Arabidopsis thaliana: one gene and its partners. The protein of the gene in region 2 purifies or fractionates together with the protein of the main gene of each other region. This does not show direct contact. Each region holds a gene or a part of one and is shown on either strand. Other genes may lie near its edges.

Region 1 (7,881 bases), on a different chromosome or scaffold from region 2:
GTTGTGTATATATTACTCAGATGATATTATCAATGTTAATGACATTATTTTGGTACTAAAGACTACCCAAACAACAAGCTTCCTATCTTTGATAATCATTACGGTACTCAAGGAGCTACATTAATGCTTAGCTTCTGGCCATTTACACAGTGATCATCCACTCCACAGATGAACCATAGCTTTCCAACTTCTGATAGGATTATTGAGTCGTTACCTTTGGTGAAGAGAGTTGTGTAATTGTCTAATCCACAATCTGTGTATGCTGTAGAGTTAACTTGCATAACATTATGCTGGTCACTTTTGTAGTTGAATACTGTTGAAGAAGAGAGACAGACTTAGCAAGGTAAATGCTGTTATGCTGGAAATAACTTATCATGTTTTCTTACTATTGATATGGAACAGAAGACTGCTGAAGAACAGAGGCAGAATTGACATAAATCATCGTCTTTTTTGGTGAGATAGTATGTATGGGATTGCAACATTGGTTCTGCTGTATTTAGGCATCGTAGTACAGGAGTTAGAAAAATTACCTAAGACATCGCCGACATGAAACTCTCTTCCCTGTGTCCAGTTGGTATAGTTTGTAAAGAGTTCCCAGCCATTGCTGTCACCAACTATATGCTCTGTTCCTTCAGATTTTAGCATGAGAGAAGATAAAGAGAAAATGGCATAGAGTATAATCAAGCTAGAGAATCGGCTTCCCTGATGAAGCATTGCTATCTCTTAACTTCTTGTTTTCTCAATTTCTTTTCAGAAATACAGTATATTTATAAAGCAGTAAGCATTTGTGGGTAGGAAGGTCATGACATTGTTGTGTTAACCAGATAAGTGAGTCATGAAAACCATACATATGTGGATCAAGGAGCCACAGATTGTATGCGGGGTACAACAAACTGTGCATCAGGGCGATGCACTGAAAAGCATTAAACCTAATAAGGCGATAGAACATACACAGTTATGTATGCATTGTTCATAGTTTACTAATACAGCAAAGGATTAAGCTAATAAGGCAAGTCGAAAGTGCAGCATGATGGAGCAGCAGCCGATGGGTTAAGGCTGCACTTTGTAAACAGGTTAATGGTGTTCAGTTTCTTCAACCACTTGAATCCAGGCTTCTTCTCTTCGGTTTTGTTCTCCTTCTTCTTTTTGGTCTTATGCTTATCCAGGCCAAAGCATCCGTATGAGACCTTATCAGAGACGGGCTCTGAGTTCCTAGATGCCTGAAGCGAGTAGATGCGGTTCTGGAGAATGCAGACCTTGTGAAAGTGGTCATCTCTCATCTTAAGCACACACCTAGCAAGCCCAACAGCTTCGTTCTTCATGAACAATGCCTCAGTGGCTAGCTCTCTGTTCTCCTCCAAGAGAGAAGTGAGTTTGTAGCCAAGATTAGCGTTTTCCTCCACAGCCACTTCTTTCTCCATCTCCAGCAACATGACAAACTTCTTCAACAGCTCTATAGTCTTGGAGGCTTCATGAAACTGTTGGTCCTTGTGAAGTAACTCGTGTTTCAGAATCTCTTTGTCCAAGCTTGCTGTCACAAGTTGGGATACAAGCTCATCGACTTTCTCAGAAACCGCAGTAGGATCTTTCATCTGTTGAAAGGATAAGGTGCTCTCAACTTCAGAACTGACCTCACTAACGGAATCAATGTCCGAAATGCAGTCATCATCATCTTGGAGAAGCTGGTTCGGAAGAGAAGTAGTGGGTTTAAGTCTGGTCTGATGAGAAGAACGACCCAAGAGAGTGACGTAGCCGTTGTACAGGTCCAGACAAAGTGAGAGAAGCAAAGGTCGTCCCTGGTAAAACCATTCAGCTCGTTGAGCAAAGGTATCATCATCTCCTTGGCTTTCTTGAAAACCAGACTCACGCAGGATTTGCATCCGAGCTTCAAGGTCTGTTTCCAACATTTTTTCAGACAAGAAGTGATGAGAGAGAAAGACAAACAGAGCAAGAGAGAGAGAGAAAAAGGGGGTCCACTGTTTCTGTAGCATGCTTTGTGATTTGAAAATTTGAAAATGTGAAAAAGCTCCAAAAAGAGAGAGAGAGAGTGAGAAGAAATTTGAAAATGGAAAATGAAAGTACCAGAGAGAGATGGCAACTGTGGAGCTTCCATGGATGCTTTGTTCTTCATCTTCTTCAACCTGAAAGATATACTTGTTTTAGTTAGTGATTCGTATATAAAATTATAAAGGGAAAATGGGAATAATGGCATAGATGATGAAGACATTGATGGCTTTTCCAAGAAGATAATAAATGTTAAGAAAGGGATATTTTAGATCATCGAGATTAATGAAGGATCGGAGTGGGGAGAAGAAAGATACAAACCCAGAAATAGTGAGAGAGAGAAGATAGCTGACACGTTTGTTCAGTTGTATCAGTGCAGAGCATATAACAGGCAAAATCCGCCAAAGTTACAAGCATTTGATTTTGTTCCACTCATATTTTAACACGTGGCTTTAGTACTTGGGTTTGGTAGTTGCGGCCCATTGTTTGTTGGGCTTAATAACTCAAAGCCTTTAGGTTTTTGAGATTCTGACATCAAATTTAGAAAGCAAAAAGAGGGAGAGAGCATATTGGTTGGTGGTAAATGACAATTTTATATATCCAGAAGAGTTCATAAAGTTATGTCATCGAATAATGTTTTCATAAATAAATAAAAATGTGCGTTTTAGAAAATAATATTTATTTCATCGTCTTTTTCCATAAACGCGGATCTCTTTATTCACACTCTTAATTATTTTATCATATGAGACAATTGCATATAAAAAAAAAAAACCTGAACTGTGTGTTTGGTGAGAATTCCAGTTTATTCTTTTTCACTAATGCTCAGAAATCATCATTCTTATTTGGAAATATGCACTAAATAAAATACACAATGGACAAAGCTCTTGGATAAAGTTTTCAAAGTAACACAAGAGGCAGCTTCTTGAGGTTTTCTCTCTTCCAACTTTTTTGCTTTACTTACTACTGAGGTTTTCTATTCCTTTGGAAGCTTCGTTGATGGGTTCAACACAAGATCTAAAATGTAACATTTCTTTTCTTAAATTTCCTGCAAAGTTCGATGTAGTTCATGTTTTTTTTTTTCCATTCTTTTCCTTATAAAGTGTCGTCCACATTTGCTTGACGGGATACAAAACGAAACCCAAGTCTCTGTCTTCGTCTCCTTCTTTCTTCTTCTCTCTGTCATCATTTTGCTTTTTTTTCTTCTCCTACATGCCCTAGATTTTGGGTTTCTGAAATAAAAAATGGCTCACACTAGGACTTTCACTTCCAGAAACCGTAGCGTTTCTCTCTCAAACCCATCTTTCTCCATTGACGGATTTGACAACTCAACTGTGACTTTAGGCTACACGGGTCCTCTTCGAACCCAGAGAATAAGACCTCCTTTAGTGCAAATGAGTGGTCCTATTCACTCTACTCGCAGAACAGAACCTCTCTTCTCTCCTTCTCCTCAAGAATCTCCTGATTCCTCTTCTACCGTTGATGTTCCACCTGAAGATGATTTCGTCTTCAAAAACGCAAATCTCTTGAGATCTGGACAATTAGGGATGTGCAATGATCCTTACTGCACTACTTGCCCTTCTTACTACAACCGCCAAGCTGCTCAATTGCACACTTCCAGAGTTTCTGCCTCTAGGGTATGATATTTCTACTTACCTTGAGACTCAAGTAAACATTATACATAGCAGCTGACACAAGAGTATTTTACTTTCTTTTGTCTTGTTTAGTTTCGCACTGTTCTGTATGGTGATGCTAGAGGTTGGGCTAAGCGATTTGCCTCCTCTGTTCGTAGATGCTTACCCGGAATAATGAATCCTCATTCCAAATTTGTTCAAGTCTGGACTAGAGTCTTAGCCTTTTCAAGCTTAGTGGCCATTTTTATAGACCCTCTCTTCTTTTTCCTCTTATTGATCCAACAAGTATGTCTCCTTCTCTTGCTCTATCAATCTCCTTCTTGACTGTATACGTTTTCATGAGTTTGATACTGCAGGACAACAAATGCATAGCGATTGATTGGCGTGCGACTAAAGTATTGGTGTCTCTTAGAAGTATAACGGATCTTATATTCTTCATTAACATTCTGCTTCAGGTGTGTCTCCATTGCTCCTATCTCATATCTAAGGAAATTCATTGGCTTTAACGCTTCTTTGGTCTTATGTGTTGCAGTTTAGGTTGGCCTATGTAGCTCCTGAGTCTAGAATAGTTGGTGCCGGCCAGTTAGTTGATCATCCAAGAAAAATTGCTCGCCATTACTTCCGAGGAAAGTTTCTCCTTGACATGTTCATAGTCTTTCCCATTCCACAGATAATGATATTAAGGATAATACCATTACACTTAGGCACACGCAGGGAAGAATCTGAGAAACAGATTTTACGCGCTACGGTTCTTTTTCAATACATTCCAAAGTTATATAGACTCTTACCTCTTCTTGCTGGACAAACATCTACTGGCTTCATATTTGAGTCAGCTTGGGCTAATTTTGTTATTAATCTTCTCACCTTCATGCTTGCTGGTCACGCTGTTGGCTCTTGCTGGTATCTCTCTGCTCTGCAGGTATATAGTAGAAGATCAGTGTCTTTAAAGATTCTCTTCATATCTATCAAGTGATTTAAAGATTGTTTTTGTTGTATTGCTTTTTTCAGAGAGTTAAGAAATGCATGCTGAATGCTTGGAATATTTCTGCGGATGAACGTAGAAATCTTATCGATTGTGCTCGTGGAAGTTATGCATCGAAGTCACAACGAGATCTGTGGAGAGATAATGCTAGTGTCAATGCTTGTTTTCAAGAAAATGGTTATACCTATGGGATCTATTTGAAGGCAGTGAATCTTACCAATGAATCTAGTTTCTTCACAAGATTCAGTTATTCTCTGTATTGGGGATTCCAAGTAAGTTCATTTCAGGTTTGGTTGATGTTGCAGCTATTAGTCTTTGAATCACTCTTTAACTAATGTTGAAATGTTTTCAACTCTGAAAGCAAATAAGCACACTTGCTGGAAACTTATCCCCAAGTTACTCAGTGGGTGAGGTTTTCTTTACAATGGGTATCATTGGACTAGGGCTTTTGCTTTTTGCGCGGCTTATCGGTAACATGCACAACTTCCTTCAATCACTTGATCGAAGGTAAATCACATTTCATCAACAATGTTCTGAAAAGGGATGGTGAATTTCTTGGCTAATGCATGTTCTGTTTTAGGAGGATGGAAATGATGCTGAGAAAGCGTGATGTGGAGCAGTGGATGAGCCATAGACGTTTGCCAGAAGATATAAGAAAGTCTGTGCACTGTGGCATTTGATTTTCTCAGGCTGTGTAATGTGATATTCATAACTAATCAACTGTTCAACTTTTTCAGGAGGGTGAGAGAGGTTGAGCGGTACACTTGGGCTGCGACAAGAGGAGTTAACGAAGAATTGCTATTTGAGAACATGCCTGATGACCTTCAAAGAGATATAAGAAGACACCTCTTCAAATTTCTCAAGAAGGTAATAAGCAACAGCCTCATGACAGCATTAGTCAGTATTCATTTTGTGTACTCAGACTCCACAGTGTTGCAAAAAGCTAGTTCTGAATCCAAGTGTTAATGAGTTTGCAGGTGAGAATATTTTCGTTGATGGATGAATCAGTTTTAGATTCAATCAGAGAGAGGCTGAAACAGAGGACTTACATAAGGAGTAGCACGGTGTTGCATCACAGAGGTCTAGTAGAGAAAATGGTATTCATAGTGAGAGGTGAGATGGAGAGCATTGGAGAAGACGGTTCTGTTCTTCCTTTATCAGAAGGAGACGTTTGTGGTGAAGAACTTCTCACTTGGTGCCTCTCTTCTATAAACCCCGGTACTAATAACATTTGAGTGTTCATAACTCTTAATGTTTTTTGGTTAGAAACTTGGAACTTTGGAGCTGAATACGTTTTGAAACTTGCAGATGGGACGAGGATAAAGATGCCACCAAAGGGATTGGTTAGCAACAGAAATGTTAGGTGTGTGACAAACGTGGAGGCGTTTTCGCTGAGTGTAGCAGATCTTGAAGATGTAACAAGCTTGTTTTCAAGATTCTTAAGAAGCCATCGAGTGCAAGGAGCTATAAGGTACGAGTCTCCTTATTGGAGGTTACGAGCAGCTATGCAGATCCAAGTGGCTTGGAGATACCGAAAGAGACAACTCCAGAGATTAAACACTGCTCACTCCAATTCCAACCGTTAAATTTGATGATGATGTTTGGTTTGGTAGATTAGTAATTTTATTTTGAAGTATAAAGCTTAGTGATTCACTATAAAAGATGAATCGATGATTCATTCGTTGTAATCAATTCACTCATTAGTGTTTCTTAAGTATCTTTTTGCTGTTTTTCCAATCATACGGTATAATTTTACTTCAGGTCACTCGGCTTGAGTAACTTGGGCTCATAATTTCGGCCCATTCTAATTGATCTTAAATTAATAATTAATCAAGCCTGGATAATGAATGATTTTTGCCTTTTCGGTACTTCTTTACTGTAAGAAGTTAATTAAGACAAAGAAACGGAAACAGCCATGTAGTTAATGACATTTTGCCTCCAATAATTAGGGCCAATTAATTAGTTACAGTTGGTAATCAAATAAAGGAATTTTCGAATTCGTGAATATTCAAAAGGAAATAAATGTTAAAAACACAGAGGAGAGAGAAGCCTCACGGACACGAAATAATAAACAATGTAATAAAAGTCAGTGTTTGACTTTTCCAGACATGAGTTTTATTTACAATAATACACTTCCTTGACCTGGGCTACGAAGAAGAAGACCCCTGACTTGGTCATCATCTCCTTTCTTATTTCTTCTTCTTCTTATCAAAATTACTAAAACTCTCTGCTTCAACTTCCTTCTCCGCCTCAAATTTTCCCTTTATGCCTAGATTCTAGCCTTCTAGGGTCTTCTTGAAACCGTGATTTTGGTCAAGAAATGGCTTCCCACAACGAAAACGATGATATTCCCATGCTTCCGATTTCAGACCCATCATCTCGTACTAGAGCCAGAGCTTTCACTTCCAGGAGTCGTAGCGTTTCTCTCTCAAACCCTACTTCCTCCATTGAAGGATTTGACACTTCCACTGTGGTTTTAGGCTACACGGGTCCTCTTCGAACTCAGAGACGTCCTCCTTTAGTTCAAATGAGTGGTCCTCTTACCTCTACTCGCAAGCATGAACCTCTCTTTCTTCCTCATCCTTCTTCTGATTCCGTTGGTGTCTCTTCTCAGCCTGAGAGGTATCCTTCTTTTGCTGCTCTTGAACATAAAAACTCCTCAGAGGATGAGTTCGTTTTGAAACACGCAAATCTCTTGAGGTCTGGACAATTGGGAATGTGTAATGATCCTTACTGTACTACTTGCCCTTCTTACTACAACCGTAAGGCTGCTCAAATCCCTACTTCTAGAGTTTCTGCCCTTTTTGATTCCACGGTAAAGTTTTGATTTTTGTTACTTTACATTCACAAATATAGCTTCAGGATCAAGTAAATGTCGTTGAAACAGAGTCTTTTGTTTTCTTGCTAGTTCCATAACGCTCTGTATGATGATGCTAAAGGTTGGGCAAGGAGATTTGCTTCCTCTGTTAATAGATACTTACCTGGAATCATGAATCCTCATGCCAAAGAGGTTCAAACCTGGACTAAATTCTTCGCCCTTTCATGCTTGTTAGCTATTTTTATAGATCCCCTCTTCTTCTTCCTCATAAAAGTCCAAGAGGTATGTTTTTCCTTCAGAGATATCTTTTGCTTTTCCAAGTGTTTTTATCTTGCCTTTACACCACCTTTTTGACCATCTTTATTTTCTCACTGTAGCAAAACAAATGTATTATGATTGATTGGCCGATGACTAAAGCATTTGTAGCTGTAAGAAGTGTAACAGAT
Region 2 (8,011 bases):
CAAAGCCTGATAGTAAACTAGTACTACACTCTAAAGGTTTCGACTTCAATTTCAGTTCTGACTCCAGACAGTTCCTCAGCAAACAAATCAAACCACCATGACCTACACTATAGAATTGACTCTTAGTCTGTAACTGGACCAAGGAGGCAACGTTGTTCTGCAGAAATGAAACAATGTTTTATCAATTGGGTTTTCTTTTCTGAACCTAACACAGGAGTGGAAAGAAGATTTAAGGGTTTTAAGAAAGTATTACAGATGATGAAGCAGAGGAAGACGAAGAAGGATCATCAGAAGAATGATCATCAGAAGCGAGTTGCAGAGCCAAGTGGTGATCGGTTTCGATTTGTGGATTGATTTCATCGTCTTCGAAGTGGGAATTCACATGGCTGAGTCAAACCATCCACCATAACCAGACAAACACATCAAGACCTCGAGAGAATGCAACTAAGAAGCATATAGAAATAAGGGACACAAAGCTGAAATTAGGGATTGATACCTTTGGATTAGGGAGAGAGGAAGCGTGAGATTGCAGACAGGACACAAAGCTGACATCTTTATAACCCGGGACAAGAAAAAAGTCGCCTTTTTTTCACTCTTTCGTTTGTTTTCTCGCCGGAAGAAATCAGAAATTGACCTCCTCCGGTGATGATCAAAACGCCTGCGTTTAATTGGAGTGCTTGTGGTGCATTGATTATTTCTATTTTTTTTTGGAATTTTTAATTCTTAATGATTTTTATTTTATTTTTGTGTTAAAAGATAAATTTAAACGAGAGAAAGTAGAAAATAAAGAATCTTAATTGGCCAATAATTATGGTAAGTTTTAATGTGAGGAACTAATATTTCTCTTTTGGAAATATAAATCAGAGATGCATGTACACGTTTTACGACTCAACAAGTCACAACGTTGGTAACAAACCAATTTTTGAGAATCTCTTATAAATATCACATGTGTGTTTAGTAGGTCTCTATGTCTCAAAACACAAAATATCATAACAAACAAAAAAACAAGAATGGAGAATTCAAGCTTTGAAACACTTCCTTATGATCTACAAATGAAGATTCTGTTACCGATGCCTCTAAAAGTCTTGGCGAAATGGCTATGCGTCTCAAAGCAATGTGCATCATTTATTTGCTCCGTAGAATTCAGAGAAATTTACTTGAGTTGATCAATGAAAAAGCCTCGAGTGTTGTTCGTCACCAATGTTTTACCAATCTACCAAAACAAACCCGAAACGTTGTTTCATTCTGTTTGTCAAGAGGAGGAAGCATTGTTCTTGTCTTCCGGTCAACAAGAGATGTGTACCAACGAAACACCACTTTGAAATGTTTCTAAACCCATCCAAGGTTTGATTTGCCTTCAAGATACTGAGGTTGCGATTTAATTTGCAACCTGGCTACGCGAACGTTACGGAAATTACCGCAGATCGAAAGGTCTAACGGAGCATGCATGAAAAGTTTTTTCGGATACTACAAAGCTAAAAAAAGTAATCAAGTTGATATGTATAAGTTTAACTAATAATAACAAATATCATGTATGCACGGTCATGTAATCTAAGAAAGTAACCAAGGTGCGTACCAACGACGCACCACTTTGGAAAGTTTCATGTGTTCTTTAGTCGAAGGATTGATCAAGTAAATGTGCCTAAAATCGTCATGGATCTGAATCAAGACCAATCCATCACAAGATCCCAATACTTGAATGGTTTTATTTTGACATTTGTCGATTGGATCATCAGGAAAAGTGTAGTAACAAGAAGAAGAATGACAGTTTTTTCCGTTGTTATGGTCATCTCTAGAAAAAGTCTCCAAAAGAAAAGTTATTGAGTTGAATCTTCTTCAACAAAATTCGCTGAAAAGTGTTGACTAACATGAAGATATTTCATATTAGGGGTTGGTAAACCTGTACGAACGAGTCATTTGTGGGAAAAGTAGGTTGATTTGATCATTGATCTCCATTTTTTTACAAGACTTTGAATCTAGCTAGTGATTTTATTGGAAGATATTGAAATATCTCTTCAACTATATCCTCTGATATAATCATTGTCGTAGGATTATTTTTTATGCATTGAAAAAATTGTCTTAGAATTATTATGTTTGTCACCCTCCATTCTTTTCGTACGATGATAATTCTTAGTTTAGATTTTTATATCAATATATAAAGAAATTAATGATCTAATCTTGGAGTCTTAAATTTATATTTAACATTAATTGTGGCAAAAGAGAGATTTAACACTATTAATCTACTTTAGAATAATGAAAAGTAAATAAACAAATGTACAATATGATATAATCTTGGATTTTAAACTTTAGATCTAACATTAATTGTGGCAAAATAAAAATTAACACTAATAATTTAGTTTACAATTATGAATAAGAAATAATAAATGTCTATAGGCTATAAATAAGTGTATATATATACAATCTTACAATAATTTAAAATATTGAAATGCAAATCTTACAATATGAATATTGTAAAATGATTCTAACATTGATCTAATAACATATTGATAATTTAACTTTACTAGATTATTGTAATAAATTTTACAACAAATTTAAAATATCAAAATGCAAATTAGTGTATTAAGGCAAAAACAAATATACAAACAACCCTTTTTCTTAAATTTAGTACAATTTATAATTTTAAAACACTCATACACAGGTCTTAATCTAGACTTTTTATTGTTACATAATTTTTTTTTCACCTATCAAAATCTAATACATACAAATATACACGTGTTGCGCGATCAGATGAGCTTATAACTTTGAAAACCAAGTTTGAGATTATCACCATTTACCTCATAACAACCTCTTTCGTCTTTCAGCTAATGACGATTTTCGAATGGCGGCAATCGTCAATCCTCTGTTGTTAGATTAAGAGAGCGCAGTGCAAGAATGATTTCAGTTGGGCCATGCAATGACCTGATACTACAGTAAGTAGAGATGCATTATTTCATGTGAGGATTGGTTAGTGACGGTTCGTTTCTTGCATTCTGTTGTTTCTCTAAAACACAAGTTTCTGACTAGAGAGTACTGAGCCATACACAGTAATAGAAGTCGAAAGTTTTTGGTCTACATAATAATTCAATAAGATTCCAGATTCTTGGAATGAACAAGAACAAAGAATTAGCTTTCTCACCCAGAACCTGATTATCAATCGACTACAACAATGCATTAGACCGTGGTCATTTGTCTAAGTGCGTCATCAGGCAGCAAAACTCTAAACACTGCATAATGATGGTTCAAACTCTTTTCCCCTTGAAGTCTATGAACACTCCCGAGACCACCTGCCGTGGTGTTTGGAAAAGCATAGAAAATCCGTTTTATTCTTTGATGCACAAGCGCCATAGCACACCTTGGGAACATATCACGACTTTATTAGATACACACACTTGCAGAGTTTAAAAGGGTAATATGTATGTAGAAACTCACATTGTACAAGGCTCCAACAGGAGGAAAATGTCATAACCAGTGCAGAGGTACGGCCTTTCCATTGAAGGATCTCTAACAGTCTCTTCTCTGCTGTCATTTTGGACCTATCGATAACTCAGAAGTGTAAGAGAGAATGCTGTACTAGTCAAAGCATGTGGAGGAAATTAAAAAACTTGGTTGGAATGAACTTACGTCTGGACTCTGACTGCTTGTTTTCTGCTTTTTAGCCGGAGAATCTGTATTTGAGGGCGGAACATGATCCTGATCAAAAATCTTGGATGGATTGGGAAACAGATTTCTATCTCTGGCAGAAGAGGATTCAATGGCAACCATGGAAGCATGCCTAAGAGGATGCCACTGGCTACAATTTTCAGTGTCATGCGGCTGCAAACTCCATTGCCAGGGATTCAGACAAGAAAGAGCAGACAATGAACCATTCTGTTTTTCAAGTGTGTCATTTAAACATATTTCCCCTGTTTCCTCGAAGGGCCTGGTCTCTGCGCTAGTCATGTCACGAGGAGCAGATGATGCATATACTTGATCAGTTTCACTAGCTATTATTCGCCTAACTGAAGGATCAACTATCACTGCAGCATTCACAAGCTGAAAAGTACATTAGAAATGTGGTAAATTGAGATCATTTTCTATGTAATGAAACGATGGTAAATCTTTCTACCAAGAGAACAAGGATTGAGGCGCTAAAAAAAGCAAATGGTACATGAAAAATGAATGGTCTGTTGTCTAAAACTTGATATCGACGTTATGTAGATCAATGGAAAATACTTACTGGTGTATGACCAGATACTGCCATATCAATAACAACTCTCATGAACTTGCAGATTGATTGTGTTTCCTCCTCGCTGAACCCACCGATGCCATCTATATTGCTATCATTGCCAAATGCAAAAAGTAAAAAATCATTGACTGTTGCACTATAAACAAAGACATATATTGCTATTACAATGCAGATAAGAGCACCAATAGAAACCATCAAGAAATAAGATTATTCTAGAACGACTAAAGCATATATAATAAAAAGACCAGAAAGATAATAAAGACTCTTTTGGTCACAAAACTGATTCTAGACATGGAGCTTACTAGGTTGGTGGATGAAATGAAGTAGGCCATATCTTACTTTGTTCTTCCCACTCTTCTTTGGATACCGCAGCATATTTGCATACCTATCATAGTTATAGCAGAAATATGAGATTGCACTGAAAATATAAATGAATGAGCAGAAAGAAATCTCTGACTTGGAAGCTAAATGAATCAAAAACCCTTGAAGCAAATAGTGGTGAGATAAGAGAAAAATAACCTACTTGTGTAATAAAAGGACTCAACTCATAGGGATCAACGAGTCTCTGCACATCAGGTGGCATGTCACTCAACTGATCGTTGTGCTCAGGTGCTAGACATAAGATGACAGTCAACTGAGTTTCACCTGTCCAATAAGCTTACAATAAAAACCTCATAATCTTATGATTGGTGTATCAGCGCGCTAAGAAAACTAACAATGGGATACCGCAATCTGGCAGAATCTTCTTCTTCACCCTTTTAACATGACGAAGATCTTCTAGAGGAGCAATCTTACATAAATGCCTATCATAGCAAAGTAAAAAAATTCACTCATGAGATTACAGCACTGGAATCAACGAGTCAAGAGTCGAAACAAGAATGACAAACCTCACTATCGTATTGGCAAATCTGGGTTTGATTAGGCTAGCATATACCTTCACTGTGAACAACAAGAACAACACACACACACACACAGAAGAAGAAGTTTAGATAAAGAACCTTTGATAGACTAAAAAACCAAACTTAGAGATTGAATCATACCAGTGGGCTGATGGTCAGGTGACAATGAAGGCTTTTCAGGTATATGGATAATTTCCCATGCATCTGAATCCATAATTTTATTTTATCTATTCTTGAGCCTGATTAACACCATTAGCTCAAACTATAAGAATTAGGGAGAAAACAGAGACGAAAAACTCCACCTTTCGCAGTGAAGTTTGAATAAGAGAACTCGCAAAAATTCACACTTTCAATTTCTAGATTCAATAAGAAGAGTGGTGAGTAAAACCCAGTTAAGGCTTTTCTAAGCATTCTTATTGAACAGCATTATCGAATTCACTAGTTAAATCATATTTCAAACCAAGTGCTCACACACAGATGCAATTCCAGAAACCGTAAAAGAAGGTAATTAATCATTACAGAGATTAGATTAACTCACGCTGGAGAGCTTGCTCCAAGCAACAAGACACAGAGACGCAGCGAGCGATAGCCGATAGAGAGGAAGGAGGAGTTCACCAAAAAGGTCAAGAAGACGACAGCTTACACGTCGCCGTTTTAGGTCTTATCTAATTAACCTAATTAAATTAACAAAGTCTAATTAAAAAGAGCGGGACGACAACTAAACCCTACGCTTACATAAAAACGCGACCTTTAAGAATTTTGTACGGCAACAGAACCAGAGAACGTTGACGGCTAAAGGCGGCGAAATGGACGTTGATGAGCGGAGCAGCTACTGTATCGAGGGTATGGTCGTCTGTTGAGATTGAACTCTCCGATTGATCCTGCAAAGAAGAAGAAGAACATCAGTGAGAAGGAAACAACAATGATGAAGAACAAGAAGATTGGAAACTAGAAGAAGAAGACGACGTAAGAGAGAGACGTGAGAAGAAGAAGAAGAAGAAGAAGAAGAAGAAGACAAGAGAAGTGGGTTTTATGTTTTATCTTATTGGGCTGATGAAGTTGTGTAGGCCCAAAGTGGTGAAGTATGTTTTGTTGTGGCCCATTCGTAGAAGTAGCTTATTCTAGCTAAGTACTTGAGGTAGAGTAGTTGGGGTTGTTAGTGGCTAAGGTAAGGTTGTGTAAGGTTGCTTGTATCCCTAAGTCTAATGTCTAGAAGTAAGGTTAAATAGTGACTAAGTTTAAGGTCTAAGAGAGTGGGTATGGTGAGTAGAAGAAATCTCCTATATATATGTGTAATGTGTGTAAACTTATGAGTGTGTGAAAGTATGAAAGTTTAAGAGAAAAAAAACAAAACAAACTTGTGTCCTAAGCAGAAAAACAACATCGTCGGAGATGGGGAAGGGTGTTCGTCGGTTCTCTACTGAACCAGAGAACGATGTTCCAACTTCAGGAATCAGTTTGCCTTATGCCACAAGATCATAGCTACACAGAATTCAATTTTTCGAAACCCACGTTTAGTGAATCAAATTTAGAGAACACACGAACACACTTTAACCCAGATTTCTTCGAAAACCATTAAACCCCAATCCTATGAATCAGATTCCAAAGATAGAGAATATATCAATCTATGAGAATAGAAAAATGAGAAAGATGAAAGATTAAGAGAGAGATATCGAACCTTTTTTTATGGCTTCTCACAATCAAAGAAGAGAGTTTAAAAAATAAGAGATCGAAGAAAGAAGATTGAAGAAGAAGAAGAAAGAAAAAAAAAAAGAAAAAAAAAAGAGACGTCGTCGTTTAGTGTTAAAGAAGAAAAAAAAAAGTTTGTAGGCATGTTCGTTTCATCAGTAAGATGGATCATTTCGATGGAGATGAGTTTTGATGTTCGTTTGGTGCCAAAAACGGTTCATTCAGATGATCCATCCAAATGAATCATCTGGATGAGTTTGAAAATTTAGGCTAAATTTTGAAACTCATTTGACTGAACTAAATTGGATCATTTGGATGGAGATGATTCAATCTAAAATAACAAATGACAAAAATACCCTAATTATTTCAATTGATTATTTAGATGTATTTTTAGATAAAATAAATAAATAGATTTAAATCTTATTTTACAATTATTTTTTAAAAAATAAAAAATTAAATTTTCTGCTAAAACCGCAAAATCATTTTTTTTGCTAAAACCGTAAAATTCGTTTTTCAGCAAAACCCGTACAATTACGTTTTCCCGCCAAAACCGCAAAATCATTTTTTCCTCGCAAAAATCGTAAAATTCTATTTTCCCGCCAAAACCGCAAAATCACGGTTTCCCGGCAAACCCGTAAAACCGTGATTTCCTGCCAAAACCAAAAAATTACGTTTTTCCACCAAAACCGTAAAATCGTGTTTTTCCGCCAAAACCGCAAAAATCACGTTTTCCCGCCAAAACCGTAAAATCACGTTTTCCCGCCAAAACCGTAAAATCACGTTTTCCCGCCAAAAACGTAAAATTTTGTTTTCCGCCAAAACTGTAAAATCGAGTTTTCCCGTCAAATCATAAAATCACGTTTTCCCGCCAAAACCGTAAAATAAATTTATAAATATAAAAAACTATTATTTGAAATTTATTTACTTTTAAATATATTTTAGATTAAGAATTAGATGAAAGCATGGGTATTTTAGGTATTTGTATTATTGCAAATCATTTGGATGGAGATAGAGATAAGTAAACGAACAACATCTCATTCGGATGGTCCAGTCAAATGAACCGACTAAAAATAAAACGAACAAGAGTCGAATGAATCATCTAGATGGACATGTTGAATGGATCAATTGGATGGATCTGTCAAATGGAGAAACGAACAGAACCGTAGTATAATAGGGCCAGCCCTATAAAAGCCCGAAA
Region 3 (6,364 bases), 5.1 Mb from region 2:
GATGAGGGGCTAGTGGCTGGTATCCGGAATATCGAGTGGGATGCAGTTGAATTACCGTCACAGTTTATGGAGAACTGGTGCTACCACAGGTACTTGGGTTCAACTGCCTTGCCGAATTTAATTTACAAATGTTTGGGTCCCCGTGATTTTTGTCCTCTTACAAATACTTTTGCAGTGCTGCGTAGAGGCATTTACTAGTAAATTTATAATGAACATTATCTGAATGTGGTTTCAGGGATACCTTAATGAGCATTGCTAAGCATTATCAAACAGGAGAAACTCTTCCCGAGAATGTATACAAGAAGCTACTGGCTGCAAGAACATTCCGTGCAGGGTCCCTTAGTCTTCGCCAGGTCAGTACATTATATCAAACTGTAGATGTTCATATGTAGTACTAAGCAAGATTCTCTTCTTCAGCGGATTGTACACATTTCAGTAAATTTGGCTCTTGTTGTTCCAGTTGAAGTTTGCTACAGTTGATCTGGAGCTGCACACAAAATACATGCCAGGTGGGGCAGAGACCATCTACGAAGTTGATCAAAGGGTGTCCATAAAAACACAAGTGATCCCTCCACTTCCTGAAGATAGATTCCTCTGTAGCTTCAGTCATATATTTGCAGGTAACATCCTTAAACCCGTTTTGTTGTAACGCATCCGTAAACGTTAGTCATGTGCAGTTATCGTAGGTGCGTTTGATAGTTTGTTTCACTTGTTCACCTTCTCATGTCTTGTCAGGTGGTTATGCAGCTGGATACTACAGTTACAAGGTAAAATATATTCTTTTGTTTCTATATAATTCACCGATGCAGCAGTTCTATTCACGATGGTTCTCTGCTGGTCAAATATCTAAATACACTTTTGTGGACAACGTGCAGTGGGCGGAGGTTTTGTCTGCAGATGCGTTTTCAGCTTTTGAAGATGCTGGGTTGGATGACATTAAGGTATATGCTGCTAAACAAACTTACTGAAGCTTTGATTCGATTTTCCAGACTCTGAACATCTCTCTGTGTTGTGTGGGTTGCAAAACACAGGCTGTCAAAGAAACAGGACAGAGATTCAGAAACACTATACTTGCTCTGGGAGGAGGAAAAGCTCCTCTAAAAGTAAAATCTCTTCTCTGCCTTTTATACTATAGGTTCTGCATATCATAAATCCAAGTTGTTTGTTTCCAGAGCTTATAATGATCAAATGTAATGGTAAACTATTGAACAGGTGTTTGTGGAGTTCAGAGGACGAGAACCTTCCCCAGAGCCTCTGCTCAGACACAATGGACTCTTGGCTGCTTCTGCTTGAACTAATTATGTCCTTTGCTACTCTCACACTCAACTTTGGGTTTATTAATGTCATTAAATAAAATTAAACTTTTTCCTTGCTTGTTTCCTGAGCATGCTTTCTTCAAGTGTTGTAGTAATCATCTCATAGAAGTGCAGCTGGTAAAAAAAAAAATGGTTCATAAACGAAACGAACAGAGATAATATTTTTCTTCGAACCATTTTCACATTCTCCACTACATTTTTCTTAGATCCTCTCGATCTTTTCTTACTAAGTCACTCTGTTCATGGTGTCACCAATAATCTAAAGAACCTTAATCTGAAAGAGGAAAAGGACAGAAAACTTCCACCTCTTTGCTCAACCTAGAAATTCACTAACTACCCTTTACATGTTTTCCTCTATCTACTGTTTCCCTAACACTCAAAATCTTTTCTTTCGAGTTTCCCTTCCTTCCTTTCCCTTCCATTTACACAAAGGTTCCACCTCCACCCAAATTCTCCGATTCTAGTCTCCTGGAGTTGTTAAGCATATTTCAACGTACGGTCAACAATTATTACGGGGCTTCTTTTGCTTCCACAAATGGAGACTGCACACTATCCGCATCCGAATCACTTCCTGATGAACTCCCTGACTCTGAATCTGCATAGAGTCAAACACCGAAAACCGTTTAAACATTGGCAAAAGATAAACATTTAAATGAGAAATAGATGAAAGGGTAAGACTATATTACCACTAGAAGAAGAACTGCCACTCGAACTGAAGCTGCCAGAAGAACTAGAGCCACCACTAGCAGCGGCAGCTGTACCATCCCTTTCAATCTCCACTGATGGATAATCCTCAACTGGTATATCTTCTCCAATGTCTACATCCTCTTCTCCTGCTTCCCCTCCTTTCCTCCCTCTCTTCTCAGCACTTCCCATTTCTGTCACCGGAGGCTGATGATAATGACAAAGATCAGTACTAACCAATCAGAAACAAAGTGTGCATTTTGATAAATGGATCAGAAGTTTGCTTTACCATGTTTCTTGGTGGAGTTGACACATTCTGGATAAACCCTTGTCGCTTGATCTTGCTTGCCATCTTTCTGTAGTTGGTAACAAAACGATCAAGCTCCCACAAAGTCTCATTATCTAAAGCTTCAATATCCAACTCTATTTCGTCACCGTCTTGAGGCAAATCTCTTGTCCTCTTCCTAAGAATCTGAATCAACTGTCCAAGCTTCTCAGGAGGCAATTCTTGTAGATTCACGCCAAGCTTTCCCTTTTCATCCATTGTCATTTCCCGCTTGTTTGGATCCTTAGCCTTCGGTTTCGGTAACTTCCCTTTCCTTCCCTTATTCGTTTCACGCACTTCAAGTGATGCTTCCACTTGGTTAACCGGCTGGGGAGGTGGTGATGGTGGTGGTGGTGGCTGAACCGGTGAAGGAGGAGGAGATGGGTCACGTGTTATCTCAATTACTGGAGGAGGAGGCAATGTAGGTAGTAGCGGCTTCACTGAATCTAGCTTTTTAGCTATAGAAATCTGTTCAGGTCCTTTCCTTGCATTCTCCGCCACATTATTCTGATTCCACACTCTTTGATTATCCTCAGGTCCAGGACGAGACGATGATCCCATAACTTTCACCTCTTGAGCCTCGAATCTCTTCAATGTAGGGTTGAACCAAACGTCAAATTGACTCAGAAGCTTCTCAGCCATCAAATAAACATCTTGACCCTTTGGATTATACGACATCGCATTGGTGAAAGTCAACCTAACATCAGAAGCGAAATCAATCGGCGATCTATATAAACCTTTTTCCAGATTCATCTTCACCGTACCCAGATCCATAGGCTTGTCCACAATCCGATGATAGTCATGAAGCCCTAAACCTACCACATCAACAGGATTTAAAAAGACCCATGACCATTTATGCTTCATCAGCTTCACCAAGATCTGACCACATGTCGTCATCATACTCTTCAACACCTTCTCAGACATCAGATCCAAAGCCACATGACGCTTAAGGCTAGGCTCGTCCGTAGCAAACGGATTGCTTCGCTTCTGCCCATGCCCAATTTTCTTCTTCTTCGTCTTCGTCTTCTTCACTCCAACGTCATTCGTTTCACCAGCGAAGCTACGAGCTTGAGTAGTATAAACAGAGCCGCTCACGAACGTACCCGATTCGATCCGTTCTCTCAGGAACCGAACTTCCTCGAGCTCCGAATTGAGACGCTTCTTCAGCTCCCTGAGCTGATTCGAGGTGTACCCATCAAGATCAAAGGAAACGTAGTCTCCATAAGCTGACGAATCATCGAAATGCTTGCTCGAATTGTTCCCGTAAGCGGAGATTGAGTTAGGGTTAGGGTTAGGGTTGAAAAGAGGATTATTGATATCACCGGAAAGAGGTTGGTTTGTGTATTTCCTCATAAAAACGGCGCCACATTGTCCCAGAAACAACGGTTCGTTTAGGTTAGCCAAAACCGCAGGTGCCATACAAAACTCGAAGGGCACAAGATCATTTCAGAGGGATATGATCTCTTTCTCCCTTCGCCGGAATCAGACCTTTGATCTGACCCTTGTATAATTTAGAAACGTTGAAGTGAGAAATTAACGCCACCGGAAAAACAATTCCGGCGATCGGAAGAAAAGAAAGGGATTGTTGTTTGGAGAGGAGGACGAGGAAAAACAAGGTGAGGCATCGTCTCTTCTTAAAGGACATTGAAATCTGCCCGTTAAAACGCTTAGTGCTTCTCCTCACCGTTGATTCGAGATCTGACGGTTCAGATCTGTTTAATGACGTTGCCCGATCCATCTGCCCGAGTAATCTGACGTGGACGGCTCAGATTTCGTTAATTTATCCAGTGACCGTTCCATAGCCGTTGGTTCGTGCGTGCTTTATTTCTCTTAGCGATTTTCTTAATTAAACAAAATGTAGGCAAATTGGTAATTTCGGAGTCTGAACTGTTTCACATGGGCCCACAGTTATTTTTCCTTTTTCTTTTCGACATAATTTTTTTTTTGAGACTTATTCTTAATATTCTCGCTTTCACTTTTGCTAGGTCAGCAGTTTCTTGAATAATCTGTCCATTTGTTAGATTAAATATTCCTATCTCATCATAAATTTAGAAATGCATCACAATTTAATTGATAGAGATACAAATTCATAATTCAAAGAACTTTATTCGAGACTAAACACCGGCGGTCAAACTCGCCGGAATTGAAGGGGTAGGACAGCCAAGAAACACCGATGTACTTTATTTTATTTTCTTAAAGCCGGAGGAATTAGCCAACTGGGGCAACCGTCGAACCTTTCAAATGACGAAAATACCCTTTAAAAGAAATCATCAGTAAAGCATGAATCTGAACTGTGGAAATACCCCAGATTTCTCAAGGATCTAATCTTTTTTCTTGGCAAGCCCTTGATTCCTTGAACAAGATCAACAAGAACTTTGAAGGAAGAGAGAGGAAGGAGACTCGATCCAAGTTTTTTTTTTTCAAAGGAAGGAGGTGAGAGTGACTCAATTATTGAGAAAATAAGTGCAATTTTGTTTATATACATTTGACGAAGTTGGGTAAAATCTGGGCCGTCGGATCCTTGATTAAAAACACATATTATGAGGTGTCAGGTTGTATACTGGAAAAAGGAGGTCATAACCGTAAATAATAATAAATGTTGCGTCTATCCCCAAACACAACAACAGATGTGGGGACCATTTCCCTGATATATCGTGGGACCCACGACAGCTCACTTTTCTCTGTTGATTAATCTCTACCACAATCACACGCGCAGAAAAATTGCGTGCGTGTCACACTCTCTTTAGCTGACCTGGTTGTTTCTGTAGTTTCAAAAGTATATATATAGATCATTCTAGAAGGAAATAAACAGTAATGAAATTTTTTCGGATTACAGTGTTTTAGAATTCAACAGAGAGAGAATGTTGTAAATCTCCCAAGAACAAGACATGACTCCCCAGAGGAATCACTCTCTTCCCGACATCATTCGCTACGCTTAGCTGCTTGCAAGGATCGATTACGAACACTGTTTCCATCATTTCATTGGAACGAACATGAACACGATCATAACCAATCAGCTGCTTCTCCGGAACACCAGATAAAACCGGTGGCATTTTCGAAAACAGCATCACAACATGACTACCGTCGATTTCTCCGGTATTGCTCACATGAACACGAACGTTAAACCGCAGAGATTCGCAAGAGTTAACAATCACATCATCGAGCTGTAAGTATCGAAGTTCTTCTCCATGTTGTAGTTGTTTCTTGTGAGAAGACTGTTGTGGAAGAAGTTCCGATAAGCTAAGTCTGATTGGTGCTGATAAGATCTTGTACTCGAATTTCGTGTAGCTTAAACCGGTCCCAAAACTGTAAACTTGAGGTCCGGTATAGAATCTGTACGTTCTTCCTGGATATCCACGAGATGAATTGGCTCTCATGTGCATATCCGACATTGCCACATCCGTGAATGACTCCGGATACCACGTTGTCGGTAATCTACCACCTACACTTGAACCGAAACCAAAACCATATACAACCAAAAAGCTTTAGTATTCAGTTTCTGCATTTCATAAACTGGGATGAACAGAAGATGCTTTGATTTGCGATAGGCTAACCTGGATTGAAGTCTCCAAATATGATTTCAGCGAGTGCTTGTCCACCAGTTTCACCTGGATAACCAATCCAGATAATGCTTCCGATTCTCGGGTCATTTTTAGCAAACGTTACATCCACTGGTCCTCCACCGGTTAGAACAAGAATCACCGGTTTTTTGCTCACAGCAGCAACATGAGACACAAGATCTTTCTGTTTACCAGGCAAAGAAAGACTAACTCGATCCTTATCCTCGGTTTCTTGAGAGAGATCTAATCCTGCAACTACTATGACAAAATCCGCTCCCTTGGCGATGGCCACAGCTTCTCCAAATCCGGTATCAGAATCACAAGACACGTCTGAGCAACCAGACGCATAAGATGTCTTCTTCACATACTCCAGAAGTTCCGTGAACAAAGTCTTTCGTTGACACGGCTTTCCTTTACAAATATGACATTTATAAACTGTTTCAGCGAGGAGAAAAATTTAGCCTGCTTGAAAATAACAA
Region 4 (7,231 bases), on a different chromosome or scaffold from region 2:
CAGGAGAAGAAGGCGCGAGAAAATGAGCTCCAATAGCAAACAGAGCAGTACCAGACCTTCCATGGAACCCGGTAAGTTTTGCTCCACAATTACCTTCCACCACGAAATCTGTTTTAAAAATCGCTATCTGACCATACATGGGAGATTTTCTCCCGTGTGATGTCTTGAAGATAAGAGACTTCACGATAGTTGTGTTGTATCTCGCAACATCGCTATAGCTTGCCTGAATTGATGTGATATAGTTAAGTACAAACTGCAACAAAGAAGAAACAGAGCAAAAAACAGAGAATGGTATAGTCAACACATATAATTAGAAATGCAGTATCATATGTAGACAAAGTTATGCAACCTCTTTTAGTACTCCGGTGACACTTCCGTGCATTTGTGTCTCGAATTTGCCGTCTTTCTCGTATTCGATTTTGATACAATCCACGCCGTTACCGTTTTCCCCAACAATCACTTTCCTCACACCGTTGTAACCAAAAACGCTATCGTCGAATGGATCTCCTTTGTTACCACCGAAAGGTCCTACTTTCTGTGACATTTTTAACTGAAAGAGTCAATAGTAATGACATCAACAAACTGAAGAATTTATAATAATCTATCGAAACAGAAATCTAATGTCTTAGTGAAAAAAGTATTTTACACATCTAACATGAACCCTACTAACTTCTTTATTTTATTATAAAATTCCAGCATTTGGATGTAACACTAATTTATCAATCGTTTTCAACTAAAACAAAATATGCTAAAGACAAATACTAAATTTTAGGGAAAAAAAGGATGATAATAAGGAAGAGCATTTTACAAGTTCTTTGAGATGGTCAATTGAAATTTTCGTAGAGAGATCAATACTCACGGATAAGATTATGAGAAAGTGACAAACCAAGAAAGGCAGGACTTGGTTATAAGAAAAAGAAAAAAAGAAAAGAGACAGGCATGACTTACCTAAATATTTCAATTAAAATACGAAGTGCGAACAAAGGAATGCATTATGCATGGGTTTAAATAGTGAACGTTGAAAAGAAAGTTGAAGCATCAATACATCTTGGATATGTGATTCTCTTTAATAGAGATAATGTTTTATACACAGTTATAATTAAAAGAAAGATCACCATTCACCATTGTAAAGAGAAATCACATTAGCATAGTTATTCTCATTAGAGAACACACAACACATAGTTTAAAGAGAGTGGCTAGAAGCAGAGGAGCAACAACCAGAGCCCTCCTCAATTATTTGAAGGTCAGAAGCAAAAAAACAATTACGGCCTATTATTTGAAAATGTTTTTTTTTTTTTAATTGAAGAACAATGAAAAGGAGGTTGGAGATTCAAAGTTTCGAACTCTGCACCTCTCCATGTGGGAAGATGACTTTGACCACTAGACTAGTTAAACAATTACAATATGAATCCTGCATGGGATTAGTTGTAAACGCGTATACAACACATCCATCGTTATTTATTTAATATTAAGCTATGACTCTCCCTTCTAGTTCGCATTTTTTTATCTGGGGATTTATTTTAAGAAAATAAACAATTTATTGGATAAACCACGAAACATAAAACAATTAAACATATAGAAAACGTTTAGGAAAAAAAAAACATCAACAAAATGGACAAGCTGACGAATGATAATATGGTGGTATCAAGACCCTTCCCTTATTGCATCACAAACGTTCATCACCAAATCTGCCTTAATTAGGCAGAGTCAATTCCGTAAAAGAAGAGATCATCAAACCGGTCATTGGTTGGAGCTTTACCACCATGCATCACAAGTCCTTTCTTGCCACCAATGGTCGCAGTTGTGGACGCGGTCCATCCTCTGCTACTCGGAGTCTCTTCCTCTCCACCAAACTTATCCAGCCTCTCCCATTGCAACGTCTCTGTGTCCAATGCAAAAGTTCCATCGGTCAATTGACCTGGACCCACGTGAGCTAGCGGGTCCATCGCAATTTCACCTCCAAAAATCACAATGTGTTTCCCAAGAGCCGCACTAGCGAATACACTTCTTTCGGAAGGCCTCACACCGAATGTTTCCACTTGTGTCCACTTGTCTTGAACAGGATCGTAGTAATGAACATCATCTACTTCACATCCGTTAAACCCATACACAACCCATACCTTCCCTTGCACCACTTCGAGCCCTGCTCCTCCTCTTGCGGTAAGGGAATCTCCTGGAGTCGAACAATGAAACCACTTCTTATCAACGATGTTGTAAGAGTCTAGTGTATTGAGTCGTGCCGTAGCACTCACTCCACCGAAAACGTAAACGTTTTCCTCATCGGCTGCCATTGAGTGGAAACTACGAGGAGTGGGTCCTTCTTCGACCGGAGTTAGCAGTTTCCACTCGTTTGTGGTCGTGTCAAACGAGTAGAAACCGTTGTATTGACGTGAAGCGTCTCGGCCTCCAAAGACATAGAGGGTCGATCCTATTGACACCATACAGACACCTAGGCAAGAGAGGGTTGGAATGTCTCCCGTGGCTGGAGAAATGGACCAAGTCCGGCTCTCGATGTCAAAGACGTAAAGGTGTTTGTCGATGGGCTGATTTGGTGTGAACTCACCACCAAAAGAGTAAATCTTGTTTCCTACCTGTGCTATGTCATGCGAGCATCTTAGCCCTGGACCATCTCCATTTTCATCCACCTTATAATTAATTAATAATACTTGTTAGTTAGGATTTTTTATAATATAGAGTCTGCTTAGTGAACTAGCTCCCATGGTGATATATAAAAGATTACTACCTTTGTCCACTTTCCATGCAAGTTTGGAGTGGGCGACAATGAAATATAAGCCCCGAGGGAGTCTAGAACGTCGGTCGAACGTCCGTGAAACCCAACAATTTTTCCACCTTGTAGCACAAACTTAATACCAGGTCTTTGTTCGATAGGCTGAGAGGTTTTGCCTTTATAAGTCTTGAATGAAAGAAAAGTGATCATCTCTGAGGTCATACCATTAACTTTCTCACGGTATCCTTCCACGTATACGATGTAGTCATCCGCATCAATCTCAAACTGCAAAGAAACCAAATAATTTTGAGTGAGGTTACCCATATAAATATATATATATATATATCCTTTTGACGAATCACAACATAGAATTATCTATTTTTGTACCTCTTCAACTCCTAGCTCTGTCTTCTTTCCATGTTCATCTCCAACAACCACTTGAGAACCATTGACATACTCAAACTTGACGAAGGCTATACCATATTGGGCTTGCCCTACATATACCTTTCTAACATTATCGTAAACACCATCATCCCATATATCTCCCGTGTCACCACCCTTTGCTTCTAGCTTTTTGGCATTCAAGGGGGTTACATTAGTCAACGGAGCAAAGTACGCTCCAAGAGAATGGAGATTGTTTCCAGCGAAGCCATAAAATCCAACGATCTTCTTGTCTTGAACTTGGAGAGTGAACGGTGTACCATCTTCATATCCAATGAGATCAGAAGTCTTCTTGTTGGATTTGAACGTTAGCCCTAGAATAAGTCCTTCAGGGTTATACCGACCTTCTACAGAAACTAAGTGCTCCTCCGGATGGTTTATCACAAACTGTAGAGATCAAGATCAAAATGTCAATTTCTTAAAAAGAACATTATCAAAACAAACCCTTGACAATATATAACCTATATATATATATATATTAATTCACGTCAATGTCCTTATAGATAAAAATGAAGAGATAGGCAAGGATAGTGTATAGGAACCGGATCTGCTTCGAAACTACGGCCCTTGACACCGCGTAGAGGGGCTTCTTCGGTTTGTCCGTTCTTGACGTATGTGAACTTAACATATTCAATTCCGTTCCCGCCTGCTGCGACTTGAATCTTGGTCACAGCGTCGTATTCGGATCCATCATCCCATTGGTTACCGCCATTTCCTCCTTGTGCTTCAACCTTTTGGGCCATCTCTTTTGCTTTCGTTTGATCAACCTCTTACGAATATTATCTGTATTTACGAATTTTACTTGTAATTACAAATATTACCAAATCTTATACATAGTACAATCATATGAGAGAGATGTGGAGAGAGCTGACCTGAGAGTGAGACTGAAGTAATGATTTGTGTAGTAAACATTGCATTGGTATTTATTGACCAATGGAAGAAGATACACGCGACATATTTTTTCTCTACTCGTTGATCGCGAGGCATTAAATTAGTATATATTAAAATATTTTTCTCTATGTACCAAATAAATTTTGTTTAAAGATCCTCCGTAAGAAGGTTCGTTGAACTGCAACATTGAATTTTTTTTGGTCAAGGCACAAAAAATTAGGTGGTGCAGCTTATTACGGGATTTTAGAGTAGTGTTTCTCTCCCATAATCGTCATGTGCTTTTGTTTCGATGAATAGCTTGATGGAAATAAAACAGATATGTCATCTATGGGATATTGAAAGTATGTGCAGTCATCATTTTCTCGGGTGATCTTTGAAAGTATAATAGTATAGTTTTACTCGCCATTTAATCTTTAGCAGCGATAAAAAATTTAACAAAAAAAAATTACGAAAAACTATACTATTATATATTCAGCTTAGAGATCTCGTATCATTCAGAATCACCTCCACGTTCATCAAATCAGTAAAGCACCTTCTCGCATCGTCCTTCGCTCCTTGCATCGTGGCCCAATGATAGTGTTCCATGTTGTCATAAATTATAAGAATAGACCCACTTTATGGCTGGTTTGTGTTGCAAGTGCATGTATAAAATAGAGACGATGATATATTTTTCCACGGGAATTATCATACTGGAATAGATAGAGTCCAAACTATGATACATATTGATATTGGATATTCCCCAAAACGTATATTTATTTAGTTCAAAAGTTTGAAATCTCAGAACACAAAAACATTGGTTTAATCGGTTTATAATCTACACCAATCCCAAACCACATAAAACCAAAATAATAAAATAACATTATTTTTTTGGTAAAAACATTGATTAAGTATGAAAATATATCTATGAAGATGATTCAATTAAATGGAGAAAGTGAATCAAACCTTCTTCTTGTCGCATGAATCTCAAACTATGGACGATAGCTTATAGGCGAGACAATTCTTCAAATCATGAACTCAAAAAGTTCCTCCCGAAAACCAATCTTAGTGATCTCTGCTCATTGGGACACCAAATTCCCATATGTCAACATTGGTCTTCGCAATTCCATGATCCACGATTTCTATGGCTTCGCAATTTTGGTTTTGAAAGTTTCTTTTTTTGGTTTTGAAATTTCCATATATATCATCTCTATTGGATTAATTATTTAATGTTTGTTGCTGAAATAGGAAGCGCCAGGAGCAATTAAATTGAAACTGTGATGCTCTTTTTGTTATGGTTCGAGTCTCCAAATCGATGACGCTGATTCTTCAGATAGATCATAAATGAGATTTGCTGCATCTCTTGCCGTCTTCATCTGTCATGGGAGGAAAAATAGATGAAGCAAAAAAAAAAAAAAAGATAAAAAGACTAAGCCAAGAAGAAACAATTTTTTTTTTTGGTAATCACAAACACTAACTAAATATACAATACAGAAACAAGGTTGTGAAAATCACTCTAAATCGAAGAAAGTAATGTGTTATGCAGCGAGTGCATGGGACTAAATATAGTTGAATCGTAAGATAGATTTTTTTATGTAGTGAGATCATTATGCACTAAAAAGAAAAGAGAAATCATTATGCATAATGACAAATGAAAGAACGATAATTTCTTGCGACTGTAGAACAAATGAAAGAACGATAACTTGAGAAGTGGCCATTAACCAAGTTGTAAAGTGTGAACGAATGACCAGAAAAGAATGAACTAATAAGGATATATTTTTTAATTTTTTCAAAAAACAATATAATAATAAACCACCTAAACCGAGAATTGGTTGAAAATTACAATATTATATATATATATATATATATATATATATATATATATATTTTAATCACACTTTTTAGTGACAAAAATATACTATTAGGTCGATCGTTTCTAGAGCTTCCAACAAAAATAATAATATAAAGCACAACTAATTTTCATAATTATATTATTTAACAACATCGTATGAAATATCATTTCTAATTTTTATTTTTGTTTTGTATACACGAAGATTGAAAACACAACTTAATTTCTATAATCTCTTTCTTCGTTTTTGTGTGTGACGTGTTCTTTATTAAACTCTTAATTACAAAGTGCCATTTCAAAATTATCAAAAGAAAAGTTTCCAAATAATATGTTCAATTTTTTAAAATAATAATATTTAACAAAATTGTTAGATACGTTACCTAAGATATGAAGAACGTTACGTTTGTACATGACTTATTTTTTATATATTCTATCTGCTGATCCTATTTTAACATGATTTTACATATCAAATATTAAGTTAGTTACAAAAAAATTGAATGATATAAACCACCAAATATGTGGTACTTTAGTTATATAGGACCCTCTAAATGGGGTATATATTTATAGGTTTAACTTCACTTGGGACAAAAGGTTTATCACCCTGCAATAAGTATAATTTGAAATACTAATTTATATTTGGTTATTTGATTACACTTTTTTCTTTTAATTGTATAAGATGTTTTAGCTAAAGAAATATTTACTTTAAAACAATTCAACCAATTATGAACAAGACTGATGAAAAATATAAATAATCAAAAAATATTAAATTAATTTATAATTTATATAAAATTTTGAAAAAATTTCTTTAAAACATCAAAATATTTCAAAAGTGAGAAAGATACGGTTCATGTGTAGATTTCCTTTTATATACTATGTTGAGAGAGTCGAGAGAATTCATTAATTATAATCTATTTACATTTGTATTTCTTGCTTACACGTGAAATATGACGGTGCAAAAAGTCGAAACTTTTAAGCTAAGCGTGATGTAACACTTGTTTTTTTTCTTTCTGTATATGATTATAGTTGATAGAGATAATATATATACATACAATTATATTATTTGTTATATATGATATTTGACAGATATAATCACTTATTATATACGATTATAATTACAGTTGAATATTGACGGTGCCTAAAGTCACAACTTATTAGCCGACAAAAAAAAAAGTCACAACTTATTAACTATTTATACAGTGATTGACATGATTCATCGTGTTAGTTGAAACTAGGGCATCCATATTTCTCTACATTGTAATGTTTGTTAATAACATGATAGCAAAGTTTGAGAATTAGTCTGGGATTCAGTAAAACTTATCTGGTTATAATTATAAGTATTATGATTT

The links.
Region 1: the proteins of EMB2820 (region 2) and CNGC19 purify together in Arabidopsis thaliana (affinity purification with mass spectrometry, with the first as the bait; one study listed by BioGRID). This does not show direct contact.
Region 3: the proteins of EMB2820 (region 2) and GTE2 purify together in Arabidopsis thaliana (affinity purification with mass spectrometry, with the first as the bait; one study listed by BioGRID). This does not show direct contact.
Region 4: the proteins of EMB2820 (region 2) and NSP4 purify together in Arabidopsis thaliana (affinity purification with mass spectrometry, with the first as the bait; one study listed by BioGRID). This does not show direct contact.

Annotation. Positions count from the first base shown.
Region 1 is NC_003074.8:6,042,137-6,050,017, forward strand, and holds CNGC19 (cyclic nucleotide gated channel 19), read left to right. Parts: upstream 1-2,865; 5' UTR 2,866-3,245; coding exon 3,246-3,638; intron 3,639-3,728; coding exon 3,729-3,920; intron 3,921-3,991; coding exon 3,992-4,090; intron 4,091-4,167; coding exon 4,168-4,554; intron 4,555-4,643; coding exon 4,644-4,889; intron 4,890-4,978; coding exon 4,979-5,124; intron 5,125-5,197; coding exon 5,198-5,275; coding exon of another isoform or gene 5,276-5,297; exon of another isoform or gene 5,298-5,314; intron 5,315-5,354; coding exon 5,355-5,484; intron 5,485-5,594; coding exon 5,595-5,835; coding exon of another isoform or gene 5,836-5,852; exon of another isoform or gene 5,853-5,925; coding exon 5,926-6,203; 3' UTR 6,204-6,393; downstream 6,394-7,881. Other genes in the region: AT3G17675 (Cupredoxin superfamily protein), read right to left, coding at 108-313, 531-714; AT3G17680 (Kinase interacting (KIP1-like) family protein), read right to left, coding at 1,002-2,026, 2,083-2,131; CNBT1 (cyclic nucleotide-binding transporter 1), read left to right, coding at 6,938-7,432, 7,526-7,717, 7,813-7,881. UniProt on the Arabidopsis thaliana protein: Putative cyclic nucleotide-gated ion channel.
Region 2 is NC_003076.8:8,446,207-8,454,217, reverse strand, and holds EMB2820 (Cytidine/deoxycytidylate deaminase family protein), read right to left. Parts: upstream 6,265-8,011; 5' UTR 5,873-6,264; exon of another isoform or gene 5,799-5,872; 5' UTR 5,663-5,798; intron 5,364-5,662; 5' UTR 5,339-5,363; coding exon 5,266-5,338; intron 5,165-5,265; coding exon 5,113-5,164; intron 5,029-5,112; coding exon 4,952-5,028; intron 4,883-4,951; coding exon 4,749-4,882; intron 4,611-4,748; coding exon 4,528-4,610; intron 4,317-4,527; coding exon 4,217-4,316; intron 4,033-4,216; coding exon 3,622-4,032; intron 3,534-3,621; coding exon 3,430-3,533; intron 3,353-3,429; coding exon 3,172-3,352; 3' UTR 3,137-3,171; exon of another isoform or gene 2,926-3,136; 3' UTR 2,649-2,925; downstream 1-2,648. Other genes in the region: AT5G24680 (Peptidase C78, ubiquitin fold modifier-specific peptidase 1/ 2), read right to left, coding at 1-157, 254-386, 497-552. UniProt on the Arabidopsis thaliana protein: Involved in RNA editing. Catalyzes the specific deamination of adenosine-34 in several cytosolic tRNA species. Generates inosine at the wobble position of the anticodon loop.
Region 3 is NC_003076.8:3,331,170-3,337,533, forward strand, and holds GTE2 (global transcription factor group E2), read right to left. Parts: upstream 3,745-6,364; coding exon 2,290-3,744; intron 2,208-2,289; coding exon 2,003-2,207; intron 1,921-2,002; exon of another isoform or gene 1,912-1,920; coding exon 1,826-1,911; downstream 1-1,825. Other genes in the region: AT5G10540 (Zincin-like metalloproteases family protein), read left to right, coding at 1-89, 236-353, 461-620, 736-767, 876-941, 1,032-1,103, 1,213-1,293; AT5G10560 (Glycosyl hydrolase family protein), read right to left, coding at 5,166-5,767, 5,880-6,296.
Region 4 is NC_003074.8:5,568,826-5,576,056, reverse strand, and holds NSP4 (nitrile specifier protein 4), read right to left. Parts: upstream 4,155-7,231; 5' UTR 4,042-4,154; intron 3,953-4,041; 5' UTR 3,913-3,952; coding exon 3,712-3,912; intron 3,557-3,711; coding exon 3,116-3,556; intron 3,014-3,115; coding exon 2,744-3,013; intron 2,646-2,743; coding exon 1,698-2,645; 3' UTR 1,299-1,697; downstream 1-1,298. UniProt on the Arabidopsis thaliana protein: Specifier protein that contributes to constitutive and herbivore-induced simple nitrile formation. Promotes simple nitriles, but not epithionitrile or thiocyanate formation.